Ovis aries: one gene and its partners. The protein of the gene in region 1 purifies or fractionates together with the protein of each later gene. This does not show direct contact. Links are inferred from orthologs where the notes say so. Each region holds a gene or a part of one and is shown in the gene's direction. Other genes may lie near its edges.

The links. The genes of interacting proteins can lie anywhere in the genome.
Region 2: the proteins of CLTC (region 1) and MYO6 purify together in Homo sapiens (affinity purification with western blotting; 4 studies listed by BioGRID and IntAct, with this or other methods). This does not show direct contact. The link is inferred for Ovis aries from reciprocal best matches to the Homo sapiens genes CLTC and MYO6.
Region 3: the proteins of CLTC (region 1) and PTPN23 purify together in Homo sapiens (affinity purification with mass spectrometry; 3 studies listed by BioGRID and IntAct, with this or other methods). This does not show direct contact. The link is inferred for Ovis aries from reciprocal best matches to the Homo sapiens genes CLTC and PTPN23.

Annotation. Positions count from the first base shown.
Region 1 is NC_056064.1:10,331,008-10,336,448, forward strand, and holds part of CLTC (clathrin heavy chain 1), read left to right. Parts: intron 1-562; coding exon 563-688; intron 689-1,310; coding exon 1,311-1,453; intron 1,454-3,813; coding exon 3,814-4,048; intron 4,049-5,441. UniProt on the Homo sapiens protein: Clathrin is the major protein of the polyhedral coat of coated pits and vesicles. Two different adapter protein complexes link the clathrin lattice either to the plasma membrane or to the trans-Golgi network.
Region 2 is NC_056061.1:2,585,330-2,591,529, forward strand, and holds the start of MYO6 (unconventional myosin-VI), read left to right. Parts: upstream 1-2,721; 5' UTR 2,722-2,939; exon of another isoform or gene 2,940-3,077; intron 3,078-6,200. UniProt on the Homo sapiens protein: Myosins are actin-based motor molecules with ATPase activity. Unconventional myosins serve in intracellular movements. Myosin 6 is a reverse-direction motor protein that moves towards the minus-end of actin filaments.
Region 3 is NC_056072.1:52,287,175-52,293,171, reverse strand, and holds the start of PTPN23 (tyrosine-protein phosphatase non-receptor type 23), read left to right. Parts: upstream 1-2,518; 5' UTR 2,519-2,613; coding exon 2,614-2,697; intron 2,698-5,997. UniProt on the Homo sapiens protein: Plays a role in sorting of endocytic ubiquitinated cargos into multivesicular bodies (MVBs) via its interaction with the ESCRT-I complex (endosomal sorting complex required for transport I), and possibly also other ESCRT complexes.

The DNA of each region.
Region 1 (5,441 bases):
GATTTAAATGCTTTGTATTTTGTAAACCTTTTTTTTTTTTAAATAGCAACATGTGGTGTATTTAAATTTATGGCTGTCACCATCATTCTGCTCCTTGTAGGATTTATTGTAACAGTATTAGAAGCTGGCCATGTAGATTTGAATGGGGAGGGGTGTTCTAGAAAGTCATCAGTTTGAAACAAATGTGAGCCATATATGCCTAATTTTGAGAATGTGAGTCTAGCTCTTAAAGCAACTACAGATTCAGCTGATGGTATTAATGAAAGTCCCGGTGTGATGATTTTATATCCTGAGTGCTGCTGGAGACTTATAAATCATGTTACTCTTTTGTTGTAAAGGGTATATGTGGGAAGGACCTGGTATTTTGCTATGACTCTGGATATTACTTCATAAAAATTCATGGAAACTGAGTTGGACGCTCTGCAACTATTGGGACATTTCTTTCTTTAAAAGAAAAACCAAGTTTATGTGACCCTTTCCCACAAGTGTGGAACCGATTCTCATTTTACACTGATAACCTCACAGAAGAAGAAAATTAAGGTTTCTTTTTTTTTCCCTCCAGGAAGCAAAGCTAACAGATCAGTTACCACTTATCATTGTGTGCGATCGATTTGACTTTGTCCACGATTTGGTGCTCTATTTATATAGAAATAATCTTCAAAAGTATATAGAAATATATGTACAGAAGGTAAGTAATACTTAGATAACTTGAAAATATAATCTTACAGATTTTACTTCTTACACTGGGCATCTTCATCCTTTTGAAACCCTGTGCTCAGTAAGAGTGGTGTGCTGCATTGGCTTTCCATTTTTTTTCCCCAGTAGAATCCTTTCTTGGATTAAAATTTTACATGCATTCCAAGTATGTAAAACAGAACAGAACTGCAGCAGTTGAAAAGTTGAGTGGCCTACGCCTTACTTACCGGATAGTCCCTGAGGTATCCATGTAGAGGCCACAGCCTCCAAAGCCCAGTATTAAAACCATCTTAAATAAAGGTATTAGAAACTTTGCATTCTAACTCCAGAAGGCAGTTTTGCTACGATGGAGGCCTTTTTACCAGATAATATTTTCAGTCATTCTGTTCCTTTCGCTTCTTTGGACTTATTTCTCCTTAGGAGTAATAAGGCAGACTTCCTACTAAATTCCTTTGTCTAGTGTCAAATTTAGAATCTGTTTATTACTGACTTTTAAAACAGGTTGAAGAGGAAAATGCGTTTTTCTTGCTTTTTGCTTTTTTTTTTTTAAGAACTCTTTTCAGTTTTGTTTCTTGGTAACATAATGCCATTCTTTTTTTTTTTTAAAACCATAGGTGAATCCAAGTCGACTGCCGGTGGTTATTGGGGGATTACTTGATGTTGATTGCTCTGAAGATGTCATTAAAAATTTGATTCTTGTTGTAAGAGGTCAATTCTCTACTGATGAGCTTGTTGCTGAAGTTGAAAAAAGAAACAGGTGTAGTACTATTTTAATATTCACAAGTAGGATAAATTATTAGTCTCTCCTAGCATTGTATTAAATAGAAGTATAACCTGTCCGTTGCCTAAAACTACTCAGTACTCATGGATCTTAATTCCCTAGAGATGCCTAATTTAGAAGTGATAAGCTAGCTGTAACTTGCTGTATACGGCTGTCATATAGAATATCTGTTAATCTAGTCATTCACCTTTTTTTGATTAATTAATTTTAATTGGAGGATAATTTCTTTACAATACTGTGGTGGTTTTTGCCATACATCGACATGAATCACCCATGGGTGCACATGTGAGTCCCCTTCCTGAACCCCCCTCCCAACTCCCTCCCCACCTTATCCCTCTGGGTTGTCCCAGAGCATCAGCTTTGAGTGCCCTGCTTCACGCCTTGAACTTGCACTGGTCATCTGTTTTACATACAGTAATACACATGCTTCAGTGCTTTTCTCTCAAGTCTTCCCACCCTTGCATTTTCCCACAGAGTCCAAAAGCCTGTTCCTTACATCTTGTGTCTCTTTTGCCACCTTGCATATAGCATCTTTACCGTCTTTACTGTATTGGTATTTCTCTTTCTGACTTACTTCACTCTGTATGATAGGCTCCAGTTTCATCTACCTCCTTAGAACTGACTCAGATGAATTCTTTTTTAGAGCTGAGTAGTATTCCATTGTGCATATGTACCACAGCTTCCTTATCCATTCATCTGCGTATGGACATCTAGGTGGCTTCCATGTCCTAGCTGTGGTAAACAGTGCTGCAGTGAACATTGGGGTACACGTGTCTCTTTCAGTTCTGGTTTCCTTGATGTGTATGCCCACCAGTGGGATGGCTGGGTCATACGGCAGTTCTGTTTCCACTTTTTTAATGAATCGCCACACTGTTCTCTGTAGTGGCTGTACCACTTGGCATTCCTACCAGCAGTGTAAGAGGGTTCCCTTTTCTCCACACCCTGTCCAGCATTCGTTGTTTGTAGACTTTTTGATGGCGGCCATTCTTATAAATGTGAGATGATGTCTCGCTATGGTTTTGATTTGCATTTCTCTAGTAATGAGTGTTCACCTTCTTTTTGCATGTTTATAATTACATTAAGTCAAACCACACAGCTATGTGTTTTTAATGTAAACTATGTAAAAAGCCTCCTTTTAGGTATGATACCTAGTAACTAATTACTCTCTGGTAAATAATCAAGTATGACAAGAGAAAAACATTCCCTGTATAACTCTGAGTTAAACTTATTTTTAAGTTGAACCTTGATATAATATGAGTTAGGAATTTCCAATAGAAGAGAACATAATATGAGTGCTTCTGATAGTTAGATCATGAAGTCTTTTTTTTAGCCAGGACATTGTGTGTTCACAAAGTGCTGACATAGTAAATGAGGTTAGTGAGAAGTAATGAGGTTAAGTAGGAAGTTCCTCTAGCAATGAAACCATCTCAAGAATAGGGTTTAATTTTAACCTGAGTTGGTACAAGTGTTCTACTAATGGAAATTTATAACATAATTTATATCTAAATGTTTCAAGCTAAATGTTTCAGAAAATGTTTGAAAAATTCTGCACTTAAGGACAATGGAGATGTAGAATATAATACTGAGTTTTATTTTTTTAAAGCTTGAGACTGATTTAAAGTGATTATTGTATAGTTGCTAAGTCGTATCCAACTCTTCTGTGACACCATGGACTATAGCCTACCAGGCGCCTCTTTCCGTGGATTTCTTGTAACTATTTAACATGTTATTTAAACCATGGTAAGAGTGTTGGTCATCTGAACCATTGGAAAATAAGCTATAACTTAGCAAAACCATGGCCCTTGGTGGAGTGATTGATTTTATGACTGCTAGAATTTTACCAGATTTTGTTCCCAGTTATGTGTTTACTTACGTTACTGCTTCTTTTTGCTGTATGTAATGTTGCATGGTAATTGTGGTAAAATTAAAAGGAACCGCAGATAATGTGGCTTGTTTTCTCATACCACATCTCTGTCCTACTCCTAAGCAATATTACTCAGAGGTCCAGCCATTTGCCCCATATGAAAAAGAATAATCTGTGAATCTGTAGTCTCTTCTCTCCATATCCTGTCTAGATAATGTAGCAGATAGGTCTGGGAGAGTATGAAGGACAGTCTTATATACCTTCTGTGTAACATTGGACAAATCCTTTAACCATCTCTGAGTCCTAATTTCTCAGTTTCTGATAGAAATGTTGAGAATTCAAAATAGGGTATGGGAAAGCACTTTATAGACCATAAGGTACATAGCATGTCAAGAGTGTGTTATTTATAATATAGTATATGTATATGTGGGTTTTTTTGTGTGTTTCTTTTCTTGTTTTATTTTTTTACTAGATTGAAACTGCTTCTGCCTTGGCTGGAGGCCAGAATTCATGAGGGCTGTGAAGAGCCTGCTACTCATAATGCATTAGCCAAAATCTACATAGACAGTAATAACAATCCAGAGCGGTTTCTTCGGGAAAATCCTTACTATGACAGTCGTGTTGTTGGAAAGTATTGTGAGAAGAGAGATCCGCATCTGGCCTGTGTTGCTTATGAGCGTGGCCAGTGTGATCTGGAGCTTATCAATGTGAGTACTGCCAGCTGACATATAGAGAAGACAGCATTTTTAAAACCTGTTACATAATGTTAGACTAGTGAATTTTGAGAGTTTCAGAGTGGTTTTAGGTAATATGGAGCATTTTTAGAAGGTACACGCTTTTTTTAAAAAAAACTGCTGATAATTATGAACTTAAACTGGCCAAAGTAGTTGATTACATTTATATTCACCCATTGACATTTACGCCCCGGTTTTATCGCGTATGTTCTCATACACTCATATGTACACATACATGTATATATTTTTTACATATACGTGTATATGTATAGGCACATCTAACCTTTTAACCTTATGAGAATAAGTTGCGTACCTCATGGCTTTATAACCCTTCAGTGAGTATTTCCTAGGAATAAGGGTATTCTCTTTCATGACCACATTATGGATAGCAACCTCAGTCAGTCTGATACTGGTAGAATACTGTTAAAAATCTGTTTCGTTCTGATTTTGTCAATTGACCTGAGAATGTTTTTTAAAAGAAAATTTTCCCTTTAGTCTAGGATTACATACTGCTTGTACGTGTCATATCTTTCATGTCTCTTTTAACCTGAAACACTTCTTCAGCCTTTGTCTTTTAGTGACAGACATAATTGGAAAAATAGTCTTTTTCTCTTTTTTTATTGAAGGTAACATAACATTAGCCATTTGAAAGTGAGTAATTCAGTGGCAGTTAGTACACATACAGTGTTGTGTAACCATTATATCTCTCTTGTTCGGAGTTCTTATTCCAAGTGTTCATCACCACACGAGGAAATCCAGTACTCACTAAGCAGTTGTCCCACATTCCCTACCTCCTTCCAGCCCCTGACAGCCTCCAAACTGCCTTCTGTCTCTGGATTTACCTATTCTGGATATTTATTAGTGAAAAATCGCTTTAAAAAATAGAATGTTCTTCGCTTTGAATTTCTCTTATTGTTCCTCCTGATTAGATTTAGATTGTATGTTTCCATCCAAAGTGCATTACTTAAGTGATGTTTTTCTTATGCTGTAACATGCAAAAGCACCTTATGTCTTTAGTCCTTCATTTTGAGGGTCACTTTTCATTAACTTGTCAGCTTCTCCATTATAGAAATAAATTTCCCCTTATAGATGTGTTTCCCCTTGGAGGTATTAAGTAGTCTGTGAGGAGACAGTTAAGACCATGTGAGTATCCTATTTGTGTGTGTCCCCGCCCCCAATTTTGAATCTATTAATTCTTACTAAGCTATTCTTTTGTGTTGGTTGCAAAATGACAATTTTCCAACTTCATCATTTTCTCCATATTTATCAGTCAACGTGCATATTTTCATGGACTTACGAGTTCTATGGGTTAATGATGCATGTTTTTGATTTTCAAATTACCTCCCTTTTGGCTGATAGAAATCCC
Region 2 (6,200 bases), on another chromosome or scaffold:
GCAGTACCTGTAAATAACTAAAGTACCGACGGGGAAATGAGTGTTGGAAGATGTGCATGCGATAGGTGCTGAGAGAGAGCACCATACTGCACCGCAGTTTTGAAACAAGGTTTTGAGGGAAAATTTCTTGGAGAGGACCAAAAGGCTTTATTCTGAAGAATTAACTGTATTTAGTCTGGCAACACTTCAATGCAATCCATAGCATAGCTGTTTGTTCTGTACTGCAAGCACTTCAGAAGGGCTTGAATGTAAAGTACAAGAAATGGCAAAAGGCAGTGGGTGGAAATGAAACTAGACAAGTAAGCAGGGCTAAGACAGTAGTCTAAAAGGCCAGCAATTTCCAAGAAAGGTAACTCAGTCTGTGAGGAAGCTGTTAGGACGGCTGTATGGATTTTTAGCACGGTGATAAACTAGGAAACAATGAGGAGGCATCCAAATTCATTGGAAAAAAAAAAAAGACAAAGGAGATCCCCACTGTGCTAGTCAAACAAAAACAGTTGAAGGATCATATGAGACATCTTAAGGAGTTTGGGCTTCCCTCATAGCTCCGTCGGAGAAGACCTGGGTTTGATTCCTGGGTCAGGAAGATCCTCTGGAGAAGGACGTGGCAACCCACTCCAGTATTCTTGCCTGGAGAATCCCATGGACAGGGGAGCCTGGCAGGCTACCATCCATGGGGTTGCAAGAGTCGGCTCGACTTAGCGAGTAAACCACCAAGGAGTTTGGACTTTATACCAAGGGTAGTGGAGTGCCTCCACAGGAGTTTAAAGAGAGGAGTACCTAATCAGGCTTTCATTTTATAAAATGCAAATCTGATGGTACTGTACAGACTGGATTAGGAGCAGACAAGATTGCAGCCTGGGAAATGCCGCGTGAACGGCCTGAAATAAGACAGCAGCTGCTAGGAGAAACTGGATACACCAGAGAGGCAGGGCTGCTGTTTAGGCACTAAGCTGAGTCAGACTCTGTGTGACCCTATGGTCTGTAGCCCACCAGACTCCTCTATCAAATGGGATTTTCCAGGCAACAATACTGGAGTGGGTTGCCATTTCCTTCCCCAGGGAATATTCCCCACCAGGGAGCCAATCCTCCTCTCCTGTACTGGGCGGATGGAGTCTTTACCTTTGAGGCACCAGGGAAGCCAGAGAAACAGGGAGCTAGGGGCAAAGAGACAGTAATGAATTGCAAGTGGAGGAGGAAGGGGAGGAAGAGGGAGAGAGAGAGAAAATCAAGTCACTACTCACAGTAAGTTGTGTGTATGGGCTTCTATTGGTCTGTCAAAGCCTTTTAATCTTAAATCCAAAATGAAGTCAAAGCAGTGAACTGAAACCATCCACTCCTTTTCGTTTTGAAATCTAATTAAGTTTTACCTCCTGGCAATCTGGAATTAAATTTCTGAGATTGCTGTCAATTATTTCCTTTCTTGGTTTCTCTTCCTCTTTCTTACTTTCCTATTTTATTCTTAACATCTTATGTTTTAACTCTATGCTAAAATACCTCATCATAACTTAGCTTTCCCCCTAGAACTGTGGAACATCTAAATAACTGAAACTTGTCCCCATCACAATCTTGTAGATTTCCCAAACTTGTCCTTGATCAGAATCTTGTAGGTTTCCTGAAGCCTTCCCCTTGCTACTTGGAATGTTTCCGGGTTAATGTTCACAGGGTAATTGCTGTGAGTACGACTAGCTTTTTCTCCGCGGAGACTCTCAGCATTATAGTCAGCATATCATTTTCTTAAAAAAACAAAACAAAACAAAAAAACTTCTTTTTGTCGTAAAGGCGAAACATATTTTCATCATATTAAACTTTCGAATACGACTCACAGGTATGTCACTTGTACAAACAGAAAAACAAATAAACAGATTATATCTGGGTTCCACTAAGTGTATACGGCGGTGGCAGAAGAAATGCAAAATTTCCATCTCAGACCCCCGTTCCCAAAAGCAGAACAGCAAGTTTGTTGCACGGGGAGGTGACCACCCTCGTTGAGCAGCGCAGCCCTAGGCTGCGGGGGAGTCCGCCTCCCCCCGCCTCCGCCCAGCGGCCCGCCGCCCCCCACTACCCCCCCACCCTCTCCACAACCCAGGGTCCTCGCCCCGTCCCCGAACTACTTTCTCCGTCCGGGAACTGATTCCTGCTGCGACGGACTGCACCGTCCCTGCAGCCACAGTCCGCAGGGGGCTCTGCAGGCGCCGGGAACCACAGCCCCGCGAACCAGGCGGTTTTGCGGGGGCAGGAACTAGGGCTCCGGGCCAGGCCAGGGGAGGCTCCTCCGGGAGCAGCCGAGCGCCCACCAGGTCCGGGAGGCTCGGCGCCGCGGGCTGGAGAGGAGGGGCGGGGCGGCTCTGCGCCGAGCGCGCCCCCTCCCGGCGCGCCCCCGCTTCTGGCGCGCGCGCCCTCCTCCCGGCGCGCGCCCCCCTCTCCCGGTGCGCGCCCACCCCGCGCGTGCCCCCTCCTCCCGACGTGTGCCCCCTCCTCCCGGCGCGCGCGCGCCCTCTCCCGGTGCGCGCCCACCCCGCGCGCGCCCCGTCCTCCCGGCGCGCGCGCGCCCTCTCCCCGGTGCGCGCCCACCCCGCGCGCGCTCTGTGCTCCCGGCGCGGGCCCCCTCCCCGGCGCGTGCCCCCCTCTCCCGGCGCGCGCGCCCGCTCCGCCCGCCGGGCCCGCGGCCTCCCCGCCCCCTCGGGCGCTCCGTAGCCGTGACGTGCGCGCGGCGGGGCCGGGGACTCGGCAGGGCGCCGGCCGGCGGGTGGAGACGGACCCGGGATCTGTCCGAGCAGGAAGCGAGCCGGAGACCGGTCGCCGCCGCCGCCGCCCCGTCCCGGTGCCGGCGCTCGCCGTCGCTGTCTCTTCGCCCTCGTCAGCCCCAGACCCCACCCTCCAGCCTCGCCGGCGACAGGTAGCCCCGCCGCCGCGCACCTGCCCTCGCGTCCGCACCGGTGAGTGTCCGGGGCGCCCGCGCCTCGCCCTCTGCAGCCTCGCTGTCCGAGCCCTGCCTCGCTTCGAGGCCTCCGCCCGCCGCCCGGGGTCGACGAGCCGGCTCGGTTCTTCTCCCCAGGACGCCGGGGGTGAAGCAGGTGATGCGTGGGCCCGGGCGGCGGCGGTCCCGGGAACTCAGGGCTGGGTCTCACTTCCACAGGACAATGAGAGTCTCCTTTCATGGGTTTGTCATCGCTAAGATACCTTTGTGTATCACCTCTGGCTCCCAGGTTGAAACAGAGCACTCAGGTGTCCAGCTCAGACCTGGACGCTCCGTGACAGTTTTCTCTTTCGTCCACGAGCTTAAAATTCAGTGCAGAAAGAGTACTTTTTGTTCTGGGATGCGAAAATCAGCTGCTATTACTATTAATCATACAGGAGCCCGGATTGGGACTATGTAAACTTGCATTTTTAGTCTTCGGTTAGTCTAGTGTTTTGGGTTTTTAAATTTATGTATCTGCTACTGAACAAGAGCTTTTCATATTTGTAAGTTTCCGAAACTCTTTAAACGATTAAAATTACTCAAACTCTGGGATAAGGAAATACTTTGAGAGGGTTATTGTTATTAGAGCATCCGTATCAGAAATATTTCTATACAGTTTTAGAAAAAGTGTTACATTTTATCCGGCGTGAAGTTTGTAGTGGAGGAATGCTTAAATCCTAATCTACAGATCTGAGGAGCTAGGAACACTGCCCCAATTTAATAGGCTGCTGTTCATGCTAAGTAAGTTTTCCTGGTGGTTGTGCTCTGACCGTGTAGATGCAGTATAGGTAAATATCGTCTGGGTTTGAGAGTTTTAAAGTGTTATTCTTAAGATTTAGCTGAACACTGTTCACACCATAAAATGTGAATCTTGAACTTGGTCATGGTACAAAGGTTGGCAGCAAAAGGACGCTTCTCTACAAATTAACTAAACCTCTTAGATTCCTTGGCTTGTGGTTTGCCATTGAAAATTGTTTACTGAAAAAACTACCTTGGTGTCTTTTAATATTAGTTTTAGTAACACCACAACTTGGTCTATAGCCAGAGCTTGAAACAAAGCAACCTTTTAAAATAACTCATTGACTTTTAAATATCCAGCTTAATTACTTGCATAGTGGTAAACAAAAGTTATTTTAGTCTTATGCACACTTGCCCAGTTGCACTTGTATGTTCTGTGCGACATGCTATTCATTGTTGGCTTTTAAGTTACATTTTAGTTTCCAAAAACTGACTTTAAGAGGGAGTAATGGAAGTGGTGAGCAACGTTAAGAAAAGATAATGATTAAAAACTCTCTATATAATATTTTAAACTATGTATAATATATATATTTTTTCATTAGTGCCTGGAAACATGGGCAAGAAAAATGTAATAAGGTATTGCAAAATTTAATGTAAATTCATGCAAAGTCTTAAAAATATCATCAGTCGTAACCCGTGGAGCTCATCTGAAATGGATTTTTTCCTCTGTTTATGTTTGTGTGATCAAGTTTTAAAATAACAGTGGCCAGGAAATCTGAGAGAAGCTGAGGCCCTTTTCTCATCCTGTTGTGACTTTGCCTGGAGACTGTGGTAGATTATGTAGTCCATTGTTTAGATAACCCAGCTGTCTCCGGATTCTCAAATACAACTTTCTTTTCTTTTCGTTAATTAATTTTTATTGCAGTATAATTGCTTACAATGTTGTGCTACCTTCTACTGTACAGCAAAGTGAACCGGCCATACATAATACATATACCCCTCTTTTTTGGATTTTCCCTCCCGTTTAGGACATCACAGTGCATGAAGGAGAGTTCGCTGTTCTGTACAGTATATTCCCATCAGTTCTCTGCGTTATACATGGTATCAGTTGTGTAGATGTGTCAGTCCAATCTCCCAATAAAACGCAGCTTTTCAAATAACATTTTAAAGAAATGATCATGAGGTTTGAATAAATATAAGCACCCCAGACTTTTTTTCTAAGAAAACTTTACAGTCTGCCGATATGTCTTTTGTGTCAAATGTCAGTTTTACAAGGATATTTAACCTTTGTGAATTTTTTATTTCTATATATTAAAACATTTTAAGTAAAAGATTGAAAAAAAGTATGACAACTGTAATAAATTCCATACAGTTTATCTGCGATGCTTATGAGATATTTGGTATTAGTATAATTGGTGACTGGCCCTTTGGTAGGATAAAATTGTCGTTTATTAGGCATCTGGCATGAGCAGAACAGTGAGGAACTTGATCTACAAAATAATTTTCAAGGTTGGTGGTCTTGTGTGTGTGTGCATGCTCGGGTGCTCAGATGTGTCCGACTCTGTGACCCTCTGGGCTGTAGCCCCCCAGGCTCCTCTGTCCATGGAATATTTCAGGTAAGAATAGTGGAGCAGGTTGCCACTTCCTACTCTAGGGGATCTTCCTGACCCAGGGATCGAACCTGCGTCTCTTGAGTCTCCTGCATTGGCAGGCGGATTCTTTACACTAGCACCACCTGTCCTAAATTGTCCCTTGAGGAAATTTAGGCTCAGAGAGTAAATATTTGCTCAAGGTAATGAGGTCCTGTCAGTTCCTGAGAGATTCTGGATTCACGCTCAAGTCTTCTGACCGTGAAACCTCAGTCCTTTCCACCAGAGTGGGTTACCTTGATCTCAGGTGCATTTGGTAGACTCTTCTGGTAAACCTGCAGAACTGGTATTGTTCTAAAGAATGTAACTGCAGAGTGAAGGAGGTATAGAGGAGCAATGTTGAGAAAGACTGGACATGGGACTGTGGAACTAACTTTGAATTCTGTTTCTTCGTTCTTAGGTGGACAGCCTTAAACAGTGATATGATGTTGCTTTATCATTTTGGGGGTAAATTCCAGAATATTACATGTATTGTGCACTTTTAATTTTGGTGGGTTATAGGAACTAGAATCAGACTGCAATGTAGTACTGGTTTTCATTGTAGCTAAAATGAATAGCATAATATTCTTGGTTAGGATGGAACTTCAAATGAGGTAGACTATTGCCCATAAGTACAGTAGTTGCCTTTTAAATAATACATAATTAACTGTGTAATACTAAGGGGGGAAATGGTTTTTAGATCATGATTAAATGGGGACCTGTTCGATTAGAACAGGTTTTTTAATGGCCTGTGTTTATTTCAGGAATGCCCCTCGAGCTGTAATAGACGTAGAGAACAAAAATGAGCACATGAAGTCCACCTTCTGTAACAAATGAGTCGTTTCGGCAGTAGGATGTGGCTGAGTAAATGA
Region 3 (5,997 bases), on another chromosome or scaffold:
AACAGGGTGGTCAGGAAGGGGACACAGATTTCAGAAACTCTTAGCCCTTGCCCAAGTGACCTGTGCAAGTCCAATAGGGTGTGGAGAAAGCGGCTGTGGCCACATTGGTCCCCCGGGGACACACATCTGATGTTCTACAACCAGCAATCTGGATACAAGCTGCCCCAGAGACACAGAGACTTAGGAAGACTGTGGCCTCAGTCCCACAGGTTGACCTTAGTCCTGAGCTAGCAGGTTTATACCCCCTGCCCTGCTCCACCCCCCACCAGGGGGTGCCACCCAGCCTCCAGGCTCTCACTGGCAAGGCCAGAGTGTCTCAAAGTTCTGCCCCATGTGGCGCGCTCACAGCCTGGCACCAAGCAGTTGGGAGGGTGTGTCTGGGACATCCCGAAGGCTGTCTACCCTGAGGCTCTCCCTGGCAACGCCTGAATGAGGACATTTGTCCTCGGCAAGGGAGGAACGAATCCCCCATTGCCCTCCTTCCACTCACAGACACCCCAAGAAGTAAACCTGGTTCTGAGCAAAACAAAACATGTCCCTAATTTCCAATTCCAATCTACGGGGCTTTGGTGTCCCAGGATTGCAACTGCTTCGTTACAACCCTGTGGCCTTGCTGCCATCTGCTGGCCAAGTAACTTGGGTGCTCGGGAGAGGTTCGGTTTCGTGACTGGGCCTCAGAGATCCCCAACCTTCTTCATATTAGCAAATCTGTCTTCTTGGAACCTTTTCTGTAGGGAGAAAGTAACCAATGCCTCAAGGGCTCCTAGAGGGCTCTGGACACTCTGGAGGGAGGAGCAGCTACTTCTTCGCTGCTCTTTCTGAACCAGGGGAGCAGGGGGCCACCTCCGCAAGCGCCAGGAACACGGATGTTGGCCGAGACAGAAGAGACACAATGGCATTCTTCTGCCTCTGGCCTCTAGCCTGCCAGGTCTGAGACCAGGAGAGCTCCCATCTTCCCTTCACCCTTCTCCTCTCCCTTCCCTGGCCACAGGAGACCTCTCCTCTGACCTTCCCTCAGAGGCTCCATGGCGTTTGGGACAGCTTCTTTCCCCTCTCCTTGCCTCAGTTTCCCCACCTGTAATGCAGTGATTCTGGATTCGCATCTAAGAAAGGTGGCCCCAGGGGAGGGCTCCATGCTTCCTGTTTGGGTGGCTGTGACCCTTCTTTCTGGACACACCTTCTGGTGTTCCCTGGGCAGGAGTTGTTCAGATGTCCTGAATACCCTGTATTCACACACCCAGCAATTCCACTGCTGGGGCACAGGGGACATAGAGAGTTGTCAACTGAAAAAAGAAAGAACAACCTAAAAGTTGAGAATTCTGTTTTATTCAGAAGCCTTAGTGAAGACTTAAGCCTGCGATGTAGTCTCTCAGCTCGGAGGGACTGTTCTAAAGATGTAAGGGAGGAGCCAGAATGTATGAGAGTTTTTTTTTTTTTTTTTTTTGCTGAGGAAAAAATGTGCAGTTGGTCATCCAAGGGCTTCCCAGGTGGCACAGTATTAAAGAATCCACCTGCCAATGCAGGAGATGTAAGAGACATGGGTTCAGTCCCTGGGCTGGGAAGATTCTCCTGGAGTGGGAAGTGACAACTCACTCCAGTATTCCTGCCTAGAAAATTTCAGAGGCAGAGGAGCCTAGTGGGCTACAGTCCATGGTTGCAAACGTCCTCGCTCATTTCCTTCCTTCTACTTTTGCCCCAACAAACCATTCTCCATTTTACGTGTTTTTAAAGCTAGGTAATATATACATGATTTTAAAATCCTTGCTCTACAGGTCATCTCTTCAGAGCTAATAACTGTTCTCTGCTCCCTGGTCCCCTTCCAGACTGAAAGGCATTCCCGAGGCTGTATATAGTCATCCCCACCCCCATCGCTCTAGGCCTCTCTCTCTCTCTTTTTTCCCCTTACGCTTTACACTTCGTTTACCAGTTCTCTCCCCATCATCAAAAACGGACTTGGCCGTCTCTTAGGCAGTGCCCGGTCTTACAGGCTCAGCCGAGCGTGCCAGTCTCCAACCAGTCACTCCTCTGTTCCAAAACTCGACACCTGGGGTGCCACGCCTTTGCTTGTTAGCCCTGTCTCCTTGGCCAGGCAGCCCCTACTCCAAGGCTGTTTTTAAGTCACTGCTTCTGGGGGTGGCCCGCCACCACGTTATCTCTACCAGAGCATCTGACCCCATCTACCAAGGCCCTCGACACTACTTAGGGTCTACAAGTCTATGGCTACGTTCTCTAATGTCCTTCCCCTGAGTGGGGAGAGCCTGGAGCCCGAGCCAGGTCCCTGCGGTCTACTTTGCCCAGGAAGAAGAAACCAGTTACCTCCCTGCTTAGCAATTAGATGCAGATAGACTACGACTCCCAGAAACCCTTTCGCCTCGGGCTGGAGGTTTGCCCTCTACACGTGCCCGCGTGCAAGAAACTGAGCATGCGCAGCGGGAAATGAGCATGCGCAAAAGCCTACAGAGGAGGGGACAGCCTCTCCCAGCAGGCAGTAGGGGCATTTTTTTCATCCCCGCGTGACAAGTGACTTCCGGCGTGGAGGGGCGGGGTGCGTGGCTGAGCCTGCAGCTGCGAAAGCTTGGGGGGCGGCCGGGAGGCCGGCGGGTGCCTGAGGCCATGGAGGCCGTGCCCCGCATGCCCATGATCTGGCTGGACCTGAAAGAGGCCGGTGACTTCCACTTTCAGCCAGCCGTAAAGAAGGTGAGGGCCGCTCCTGCTCCCCGCCCCCTCCCCTTTCCTCCCGCGTCTCTCCGTCCGCCTGCGCGTGACGCCCCCTGCGCGTCTATCATCTCCCCAGGCCCTGTCGCAGGGGCCGGTGAGGCCAGGAGGGGCCTCCACTGGCTTTCCTTCGCCTGGCGCACCCCCATCGCACCTTGTCTGACCCCTGCGCGCTCGAAGAGCGTCTCCGTCCCCTCCCCCCGACCCCGCCAGCCCCGGGTAGCCCCCGCTGTCTGATCGGAACCTGCTTTCCGATTCCGTCCCCCGGCCCTCCGCGATCCCCGCCGAGGCACCTCACTTCCTCGGTGTGACGCTTTGAACCTAGGTCTGCTCCTCCCCTCATCCACGCCAGCACCGCCCTGGGAGAATCGGTGGGTGGCCCTCCGTAACCGTCAGGGTGGAAAGGCTGTGCCTGGCCTTCGTTGTGCTGTCCGTCTACGACCGGACTGGGACGGACGCCGAGGATGGCTCAGGATGTGTTTTAAGGCCCCGGCCAGCCTGACCTCTGCGGTTGGAGTCGCTCTAACACTTGGTGCAATTCTGTCTGGTCTCAGAAGAAGAACCGTAATCTGGAGCCCCTTTGGACCGAAAGATCCAACTTTTAGGGGAGCGTTACTGCTTTCGCGACTGCGCAGAGGGGATAAATAGCATTGTAGCTTCCAGAGCGACCCAAGCAGTCCTTTGTTTACTCTTCATTTGGATGGAAGAGACAGGCAGTTTTGGCTTTGAGGGAGGCAAGGGATCGCTGTGGGGAGATCAGGTGTGGCTGGTACAAAGCAGGACCAGGTGTGTCGACTGGGCATCAGGTACCCTGTGAGACATCTGCCTTGGGAAGGACTGTCTGGTACCGTTGAAGGACAGAGCAGAAGTGAAAAGGAACAACCAGGAGGCAATGTGGCTGCTGCCTGAATATTGACGGAGCCCCAGTGAGTAAGGTGGTGGAGAAGAAAAAAAATAGAAGAAAGAAAATGGGTCGGGGAAGAAGTTTTCCAAGAAGCTCTCCCTTTCTCGGTTCACACTGCCGCTGCCTTCCTTCACACACTAACAGTTTGTATTCCTTTGAGTCCATCATTTAATCTCTTTGGGCATCTTTTTCCTCATTTGTAAAACCAGAAAATTAGATTAAAAAAAAAAAAATTGGCTGAGCTTCCCAGCTTATGGGATCTTAGTTCCCTGACCAGGAATCAAACCCCAGGCCTCAATGGACCAATGGAGACATCCAATAAATTAGGTTAATTGATCTAAAGTTCCAGAATTTTACTTCTTTCCCAAAGTTTGGTCTCCTTTCCATCTACTGTTTTAATTCCAAGATGTATATCAAATTAAGAACAGAAGCTAAACACTCCCATCATCCATGGGGGGGGGAAAGAATGCACAGAGGAATGAGACCATGTTAGTACCAGAGAAAGTGAAACAAAATCTTTACCCTGGGAAGTTTGGCTCAGAGTTCTAGAACTGCCATTGCTGATCTCTGGTTTCCATTTTTCTACTGCAAAAGAATGCCAGGATCTGGTGATCTCATCTACCCCTGGTTGCTCAGCTGGTAAAGAATCCCCCTGCAATGTGGGAGACCTGGGTTCGATCCCTGGATTGGGAAGATCCCCTGGCGAGGGGAAAAGCTACCCGCTCCAGTATTCTGGGCTGGAGAATCGCAGGGACTGTATAGTCCGTGGGGTCACAAAGAGTTGGACATGACTGAGTGACTTTCACTTTCATCTGCCTACAGAATTCTGGGCCATTGGTTTCTTGGTAAAAGGGCAGAGTAATGTCACAGAAATAGACACTGGAATCAGGCCAACTTTGGTTTAGGTCCCACCTTTTCGACTTAATAGCTGAGTGACGTCAGCTGTTACAGATGATTACCTCACTAATCTGGGCCTCATTTTTCTCACCTGTAACAGAACTAATACTATGCTTGTAAGCTTATGAGCATCAAGAGTTAACGCAGGGACTTTGCTGGTGGTCCAGTGGTTAAGAATCTGCCTGCCAATGCAGGGGACATGGGTCTGATCGTGGTGCAGGAAGATTCCACATGCTTTGGGACAGCTAAGCCCGTGTGCCACAGCTACTGAGCCTGGGCTCTAGGGCCCACGTGGTGCAACTATTGGAGCCCTGGGCCCAGAGCCTGTGCTCTGCGACAGGAGACGCCGCCACAATGAGAAGCCTACGCATTGTAGCAGAGCAGTTACAAAAAGCCGGAGCACAGCAGCAAAGACCTAATGCAGCCAAAAATAAAATAAAAGAGAAAAACAAGATATACTTAAAAAAAAAGAGTTAATGCATTTGAGTCCCCAGTACAGGCCTTGGCATATTGTAAACAACACTTTCAGCTTAGCATCCTCTTTCTCTGTTTAGGAAATAGCTCAAGTCCTATGACAGCTCTGTGAGTTAGAGCGGGTAATTGTTGCTCAGTAGGTAAGTCTTGTTCAGCTCTTTTCAACCCCATGGACTGCAGCACGCCAGGCTTCCCTGTCCTTCGCCATCTCCCAGAACTTGCTCAAACTCATGTCCATTGAGTCGGTGATGCCATCCAGCCTTCTCTTCCTGTCGCCCCTTTTCCTCCTGCCCTCAGTCTTTCCCAGGATCACGGTCTTTTCCAGCTAGTCGACCCTTCATATCAAGTGGCCAAAGTATTGGAGCTTCAGCATCAGTCCTTGCAATGAATATTCAGGATTGACTGGTTTGATCTTCTTGCTGTCCAGGGGACTCACAAGAGTCTTCACCACAATTCAAAAGCAGCTACTATGAACACCATATTACAGGTGCAAAACCAAGCCCTGGTCTCATAGCAACCTAGGGTCACAGCCAGGACTTCCTCTGTTTTGGTGTTTGTCTTTGGAAAAAGTCTTTCCAGCCTGTGTATTTGTAACTTATAACTTCTTTCCCTGCTTTTTCCTCCCAGTGGCTCTGAACCCTGGACATGCTTTCAACATGACACTGTTCACAGGTCTCATTGTTTGCTCAGGAAAAAAGAAGCCCAGCTTCTCCAAAGCCTCTGCTCCATTGACTCACCTTGTGGCCAGAGATTTGTTTTCACTTCCCTTTTTTTTGGTGTTTTATGAGAACTGTGTTTAAAAAATAGAAATGGATTGGTCTGATGTGTGGTCAAGAATATGGGCTCTGGAGCCCAGACCCCGGGTTTCCAGTTGGTGCTCTGTTGGTGGTTAGTGCTGTGACCTTGGCGAGTGTCTTACCTCCCTTGCCTCAGTTTCCTCAGCTGTAAAATGGGGGCGACAACGCTGTCTACCTCTTTGGGTTGTTATTAGGGCTGAGTGACTTACT